2 linked regions of the Bombyx mori genome follow. The protein of the gene in region 1 purifies or fractionates together with the protein of each later gene. This does not show direct contact. Links are inferred from orthologs where the notes say so. Each region holds a gene or a part of one and is shown on either strand. Other genes may lie near its edges.

Region 1 (3,942 bases):
ACCGCTAACTTCATAACACGGAAGTAGCTCGTGAGCTCTATTAGTCATCTATAGCAATTAAGAAGACCTATTAGTAACTGGCTTCAGCAGTAAGTACCCTACCCAGTTTTATGAGGCAATGGAATGTGTTCGTACCAAGAGTTACTACCTGAAAGTTCAAGTACGACCAATGACCGACGTGAACAATTTTAACAAACAGTTATTATTCTTGTATACCAATCACAGCGGAATATGGTCAGGTTTGACTAGATATTAATAAATATAAAAATTTACCTAAGGAATAACAAGAACTTACTCTGATGTATCCTGTGTAGCACTCGGGTTGTCATCATCAGATTCTTCTTCTTCTATTTCTGTAATTTGAGATTATTAATTCCATGGTTAATTGCACAATGGATCAATTTATAAGATATATTCATATTGGCTGACACAATGCTAATTGTTAATTGGCAATCACAGTGAAGCAGTTGCGTTTAGTGATAGATGGGACAATGATTATACAATACATAAGAGACAGTCTATGGTTTTCTGAAAGCACTTTACACATCATTGACCAGCAATATTACCTAAAAATTTACATCATGTCACCGGCTATTATTTCTTAATTGGATGTGGAAGTAATAAAATGTAAGCATTAGTAATTTTTTTATATACAGCAGTAGTCAACAATGTGTTGACCACATGAACAATGAAATTGATCTAATTGAGATTGTCTGGCCTATTTCACCTACGTTGTTTTTGTGCTTACCATTGCACCAGTCAGGTCTTGCAGGAGCCATTGGAGTATCTTCAACATCTCCATATAGTTTGAACAATTCAGTGAGGTAATCTTGCTTGTATATTCCTGGAGGTCTGCAAATCAAACAAAGCCAAATTTTTTTAGCCCAAGCAAACAATAACCTGAATACCACTACTTTGACACTGACTTGAAAATTAAATACGATTACATTGATACAAGTTGTGTGAACTTTAAGCTGTATTTCTTTTTACTATCATTTTAAGCAGACATGCACACGGGCTTCTCAATGGCCATGATATTTTTTTTATATTTTTACTTGAAAACAAAGAGATTTAAACATAAATACAGCACAGCAAACTGAATAATCCAGGGGCAGGTACTTAGCAGTAACAGCAGTGGTGTTTGTGGGCTTTTCTAACCACTTAACACCTAGTGGGTCATATGCTCATTCACAGGCTACTCAATCAAAAAAAACATAGTTCTTATTTTCTCAATTTAGAGCCAAAGGAAATGCAAGCTTATTCCTATTAATTTTGTGATGTAATTTGAGAATGGTTAATGAAAATTTACACACATTAATTTTATTTTCAAAACACATACATTTCATTGAAAGCAAGACCATAAAATATATTTACCTTTTTGTATTAAACTCTTTTAAGGCAGCTTCAATACTACAGTCCATTTCTTGAACCATGAAAGACACAATCAAGAAACCGGTTCTGTTAAATCCATGTGTGCAGTGAACAGCTATGAGCTCAAGAGGTTTTTTCTTCATAAAGTTCTTGACAGTGTGTATGAAGACCCTGAATCCAATAAGGCGTTTTAACTTCATTGTCTGGTTTCAAACACTAACAAAATAAGACTAATTTTTATTAATCAACACACTGTATTCCTCTTTTCTAACACAAGTACCAATTACATGAAGCATGGCATTAAACCAGTAACAGGGATATTTTTTTTAAATCTATTTTTTTGCATTTAGTTATTTTGATTCTTTAAACATCACATCATAACACCATTATATGTCAATGATTATATGAAACACAACAAACAAACTTGTAAATATATTTTTCACTTTGTAATTCACATCCAATCTGTTAACCAAATGTCTATAATTTTTCATAATGAATACTTATTGTATTTATTATTCACATTGACTGAAATGTATAATTTATAATTATTGTATATTATAAATATTATAACACTGCATCAAACCTTATTTGGTCTTCACTCGGTGCCTCTCCGTGACCTTTGCATTGTATTTTCATATATTTACAGTCCATTTCCTCTATCTCCCCTTTATCGTAAAATCTGCTTGTATTTGTGAGATCAATCCATAAACCTATTTTTTTCTAAAAGAAAACAATTTTTTTTTCTAGACGATATGAAAAATGTTACCGCATGCTCAAAAGTTGCGTGTACAAAATTGTAAATGAATTTTATGAGATACAATGACTCGTATATATTCGTATATTTTTGAGTCTCAAATTTAATTTATGATATTATTGTTATTTTTATGCAAATATAAAATTAACTAGTCTTAATTGTTATATTAACTTGAGTAATCTCTTTTTACCTTAATACTTTTAGAGAAGTCGAAAATCATTTTAGGCGTAAAACGACACTTTTCGGGCACTTTTTCATTGAATTTTGTGCCCAATGGTGTTTTAAAGGCTAAAAACGATTGGGCTATTAAAGATGTACACTTTCTCGGGCAATTCAACCACCTACTGGGCAGTGGACCTGGATCACTTTTCGACATTTTCAGCAGAGCTACAAGCCTAGTTAAATAATACGATTCAACTTATACACAATCCAAAAGAATACAAAAATGTGTCTCTGGCGTTTTGCTTTTGAGTTATCTTCACAAACTATAATAACAGTGTATCGTCCTAGTAGTCAAATCTCAGAAATTTTTCTTGAATTTTAATTCAATAAACAAATATCTGTAGTACTCTCGTGTTCTTTAGCTTAATGTTTTTTTTATTAAATGTATGTTAATCTATGTTGTCGACAACCTTAAATCCTGTGTCAGTCTATGATTCTGTGCTGTTGACAGTGACAAGACAAGCACAGGCTAGCAAGAAAAAAGCATTAAAACCATAGACCTAGGTTTCCTACTTCAGTGATTAAAACCTATGATACTACGGAGGGTAGGGCTCACTGAATTTGGCCTCCTTTTTTTTATTTTCGGATTGTTTTTATTTTTAATTATTTGTTCGTCGTTTGTAAAAATTGTTTGTTCGTCTTTTATTAATTTATAATTAATTAAACAAATGATCACCCTTAAGTGGGCCCCTCTTACTAGATATCTTTATTTTTATCTTTAACAAATAATTAAATATAAAAAAAATCGGAAAAAAAATGGGTGCCAAATTCATTGAGCTGGAGGGTAGAGGTAAGGAGAACCGTCTCATATCCATATGGGAGAACTTTCAAAAAAGTGTCCCACTTTCACCACTAAATAACAGTTCAAAAATCCTCGAGAATGGCGCTAGCATAGGCACAGGGTATGATATGAATTGAGCAGTTGTTAACTCATTGAAGTATGCCGAGTTTGAAAATTTAATATATTTAATGACTAGAGTAATTAGTGACAGTGTAATATACAAGACCTCACATGTTTACGTAGTCCAAACTAATTTCAATAATATAACTTAACAATTTTACTGTCGATTACTGTTACTTCGATTGCATTTTCTTAGCAGCTTTAAATAAAATACTTTTTGTGATTTTGTGTTGCTTACAGTTCTTTCACCCTTTCTTATTTCTCTATCTTATTCTAATAACTTTTAGCGCCTTTTTTTAAATTTACCTCGGTGCTAATGTAGTGCCACCCTTATCTAACAGATTTTAACGAATACTTTTTCACATAGAGACGGTTCTACTTACCTCTACCCTCCATATTTTTTTTAATGAAATACGTACTCAACAAATGTTCATGATTGACTTCCACGGTGAAGGAATAACATCGTGTAATAAAAATCAAACCCGCAAAATTATAATTTGCGTAATCACTGGTGGTAGGACCTCTTGGGAGTCCGCGCGGGTAGGTACCACCGCCCTGCCTATTTCTGCCGTGAAGCAGTAATGCGTTTCGGTTTGAAGGGTGGGGCAGCCGTTGTAACTATACTGAGACCTTACAACTTATATCTCAAGGTGGGTGGCGCATTTACGTTGTAGATGTCTATGGGCTCCAGTAA
Region 2 (4,132 bases), about 14 Mb from region 1:
CGAAGCATGCTTGATTATAGGAGAGAACTTAGAGTCAATACTTTTAGATCTGTTTTTTTTTGTTTGGTCTGATAAAACACAAAAGTAAGCCATCAGTTTTAGTAACATAATTATTCTGACAGGAACGCGAAAAGAGAAGTTTGTGGTTTTACTGTGAAACATCTCTATGACGAGTCGTCATGTGCAAGCAACAGTTTCTTAATATTAATGTTTTCTTTTTCATTATTCCACATGGATTTTCTGTCTTATAATATCCTTGCATCTATACCCATACAAAATTATATCAATGCTTTACATCTGCCAGCCTAGCCGTCCCGGAATGGAAATTTTTATATGCAAAATTTGTTAGATTTGGGATCAAATAAAGTAGCTCTTCTTCTAAAATTATAAAGCTTAGAATTTTCGGCGAATAAAAAGAAGTTTTTAAGTTGAACACAAAATAACGAAAACTTAAACTAGTGCAAGTTAAAAGAGTGCAAATTTTTTTGTGGATCAAATTTGAAGGCCCTTCTAAAACTCCATACATATACTCATTTAGCTTTAAAAACATATATTATGCGTGTAACTCACACGTGGTAGAAGTGAAATCTTCAAAAATTTTGGCTTCAAGTTAATGTAAAATTTCAGGGAGAGGATAATTATGTATGTTTTAAAATAGTAATGTTCATAGTGATACAAAGTTTGATATTTATTTTACACTTTATTCGTTTAAATTACATAGATTTATTCAATATGTATTAAGTACGAATATTAGGTACGAAGCAGAGCACAAAGAGAACCACGAATTTAAGAAACACTAATGCTACTTCATTTTCTCCCACGTTAAATCTTAAAAATTTAAGTGTCTGTCTCTTTCTACTATCGCTTTTTCTGTTCATCGACTTTCGAATCACAACGATGATAAAGAAGCTTTCACTTAAAAAAGACAATAACATTTTTTTTGCAATAGCAGTTTAAAACTGTTGGTGACAAACGTGTTGCGCACTTTACTCGTATTATTAGTTTATCAAGGTAACATGAACAAAAATAAGTTTGTGGAATAGAATTTTAAATAGACGTATTCCTACCGTTAGTACACCGAAATAAGGTCTAAAAGGAACATGACTGAATGATTTACATTTATAAAGAAAAAAATTATAGACATGGGATTAAAATGCAATGAGAGTTTTTTTTGTAAATTTGGCCTTAATTTATAGCAGAAAACAATTTTTTAATTAGAATTGCGTTTTATTTTAATCAGAAATGGTTTGAGAAGTGCAAAAAATAGGTACCTAGCATATTTTGTGGTTTTTTCTTCGCGGCGAGGGTAGATAATCAGTTAACCTAGGGCAGATTATCTATTTTCTCAATGGTCACACTATAAAAGTATAATCTATGGGTCACACTGTTTCGTGACGTTTGTTGCGTGTTCGTTTTAAAGAAATAAGTTTAGTAAATATTACCTAAATGGTTCGAATGCATTCGTTTTAAGTAGTAATGTCGGATTCGGAAGGTAGTAACTATTCGGGGAGTGGGTCCGAGGCAGGCAGTGCTGTATCAAAACAATCACATCGCAGCGCTGCATCGAATCGGTCGGCAAGATCGCGTTCTATCTCTCGATCAAGGTCCAGGTCGCGTTCTGGAAGCCGTAGCCCCTCTAGGACTCCATCCCGCTCACGATCTAGGTCTCGCTCTAGGTAAAATCCGGGTAGTCTAAGTAAATAATAAGTTTTCCGTGTATCTTTTCACTTGACTTTATGAGGGTTGTTTTGTTTCACAGAAGTCGTTCAGTAGGTTCAGATGCAAGTAAAAATAGAGATGATGAAGCCAAAGAAGCATCTGGCGATGAAGAAGTGGAGGTAACGCATAAATAACATTTAATATTGAAATTGTAGATAACTTTCTGTTTGGGCTATACAATATTTTATGAAACTGTATCAACAGGATGAACAAGAGCCCGAAGGTGAGGATTTGGTTGATTCTGAGGAGTATGAAGAAGACGAAGAAGAGGAGAGGCTGAGGAAGAAAAGAAAAAAGGACAGTCGTTATGGTGGATTCATTATTGACGAAGCTGAGGTATGCAATTGAAATTGGTTTTCATTTGTCTATGCTACGAAATTTGAGGTTAATATAAAAAACGAGATTACAAAGAAAAGTTTAAAGAAATTTTTTTTTTGTCATTTTCATATATAAAGTGTGATTAATTAATGCTACTTTTCATTTGATGTGGACTTTTCTGCATTATTGTATATATAATTTTACCACACACTGTATCCGTGAATAATGCAGATTAAAGCTGTGTTATTAGTTATAATTTAGCTAACTGTGACAATATAATTTAGAACATTGCTACATAGTGTGCCTGCCTATTCACACAAAAATCATAATTCAACATAAGCCTTAGAGCTAAGATGAACGATTGAAGATTTACTATTTCATAAACAGTGTTTTAAGTCACTGCTACTACTACTACTCTCTTACTACCTTAGTTGATTTTGGCCACGGCGACCACTTCAAACTCCGTTTATAACTGTCACAGTGTGATGTGGCTGTGCTGTGGCTAACATAGCCGATCATATTCCTATGTCAACTATTGTATGTTATTTTTGTTGCCATATATTGGCTGTCAAATTTCTGTATTACTGTTCAGGCCTCAAGCCCTGTAGGGCTCATAGACATCACAAATTGCACTCATTAGCTCAAAACTTCAATAAAATGAGTAATTGAAGATACTGTATCAAATAGTGAGTAATACGAGTAATAGTGAATAGTAAATCATATAGTGAGTTCTTGAAAGAGCATAAAAAGTACTAAGTATATAAAATAAATTGAAATAACTTTATCTTGTAGGTGGATGATGAAGTTGATGAAGATGACGAATGGGAAGAGGGAGCCCAAGAAATGGGTATTGTAGGAAATGAAGTAGATGAAATTGGGCCAACAGCTAGAGAAATTGAAGGTCGAAGAAGAGGCACTAACCTTTGGGATTCACAGAAAGAGGAGGAGATTGAAGAATATCTTCGAAATAAGTATGCAGATGAATCAGCAGCCCTCAGACACTTTGGTGAAGGTGGAGAAGAGATGTCTGATGAAATAACTCAGCAAACTCTACTACCCGGTATCAAGGATCCAAATTTGTGGATGGTCAGATGTAGGATTGGAGAAGAGAAGGCTACTGTTTTACTTTTGATGCGAAAATTTATTGCTTTCCAATTCTCGGAAGAACCTTTTTTGATAAAGTCAGTTGTAGCACCAGAAGGAGTCAAAGGCTATGTGTACATAGAGGCTTTCAAGCAGACACATGTTAAAAACATTATAGACAAAGTGGGAACCCTTAAGTCTGGAGTGTGGAAACAAGAAATGGTGCCTATTAAGGAAATGACTGATGTTCTCAGAGTAGTCAAAAAGCAATCAGGACTTAAACCGAAACAATGGGTCAGATTAAAACGAGGTTTATACAAAGATGATATTGCTCAAGTTGACTATGTAGACTTGGCACAGAATCAAGTGCATTTGAAACTACTTCCTAGAATAGATTATACAAGACTGAGAGGAGCTTTAAGAACAGTACAGAGCGATAGTGAAGCAGCAAAGCGAAAGAAAAAGAGAAGGCCTCCTGCTAAACCCTTTGATCCAGAGGCAATCCGAGCGATCGGTGGAGAAGTTACTTCCGATGGTGATTTCCTCATATTTGAGGGCAATAGGTACTCTAGGAAAGGATTTCTGTATAAAAACTTTACAATGTCGGCGATACTGTCAGAAGGTGTCAAGCCTTCACTTACAGAGTTGGAAAGATTTGAAGAGCAACCGGAAGGTATCGATATTGAGTTGGCTGCTCCCGCCAAGGACGACCCTGCCGGCTTGCATTCCTTCTCCATGGGTGACAATGTGGAAGTCTGTACTGGAGATCTTGCGAACTTGCAGGCCCGCATCACTGCTATCGACGGTTCGATGATCACTGTCATGCCAAAACACGATGGTCTTAAGGACCCAATTGTCTTCCATCCGAATGAGTTGCGCAAGTACTTCAAAATGGGTGATCACGTGAAAGTGGTGGCTGGGCGTTACGAGGGCGACACAGGCCTCATAGTGCGCGTCGAACCGCACAGGGTCGTGCTTGTTTCCGACCTCACCATGCACGAGCTTGAGGTGC

Evidence for each region.
Region 2: the proteins of mRNA-capping enzyme (region 1) and transcription elongation factor SPT5 purify together in Homo sapiens (affinity purification with mass spectrometry; 3 studies listed by BioGRID and IntAct, with this or other methods). This does not show direct contact. The link is inferred for Bombyx mori from reciprocal best matches to the Homo sapiens genes RNGTT and SUPT5H.

The regions. Positions count from the first base shown.
Region 1 is NC_085110.1:3,886,307-3,890,248, forward strand, and holds the start of mRNA-capping enzyme, read right to left. Parts: upstream 2,809-3,942; 5' UTR 2,502-2,808; coding exon 2,316-2,501; intron 2,092-2,315; coding exon 1,955-2,091; intron 1,543-1,954; coding exon 1,375-1,542; intron 853-1,374; coding exon 749-852; intron 354-748; coding exon 296-353; intron 1-295.
Region 2 is NC_085110.1:18,085,775-18,089,906, reverse strand, and holds the start of transcription elongation factor SPT5, read left to right. Parts: upstream 1-1,316; 5' UTR 1,317-1,476; coding exon 1,477-1,676; intron 1,677-1,759; coding exon 1,760-1,838; intron 1,839-1,923; coding exon 1,924-2,055; intron 2,056-2,829; coding exon 2,830-4,132. UniProt on the Homo sapiens protein: Component of the DRB sensitivity-inducing factor complex (DSIF complex), which regulates mRNA processing and transcription elongation by RNA polymerase II.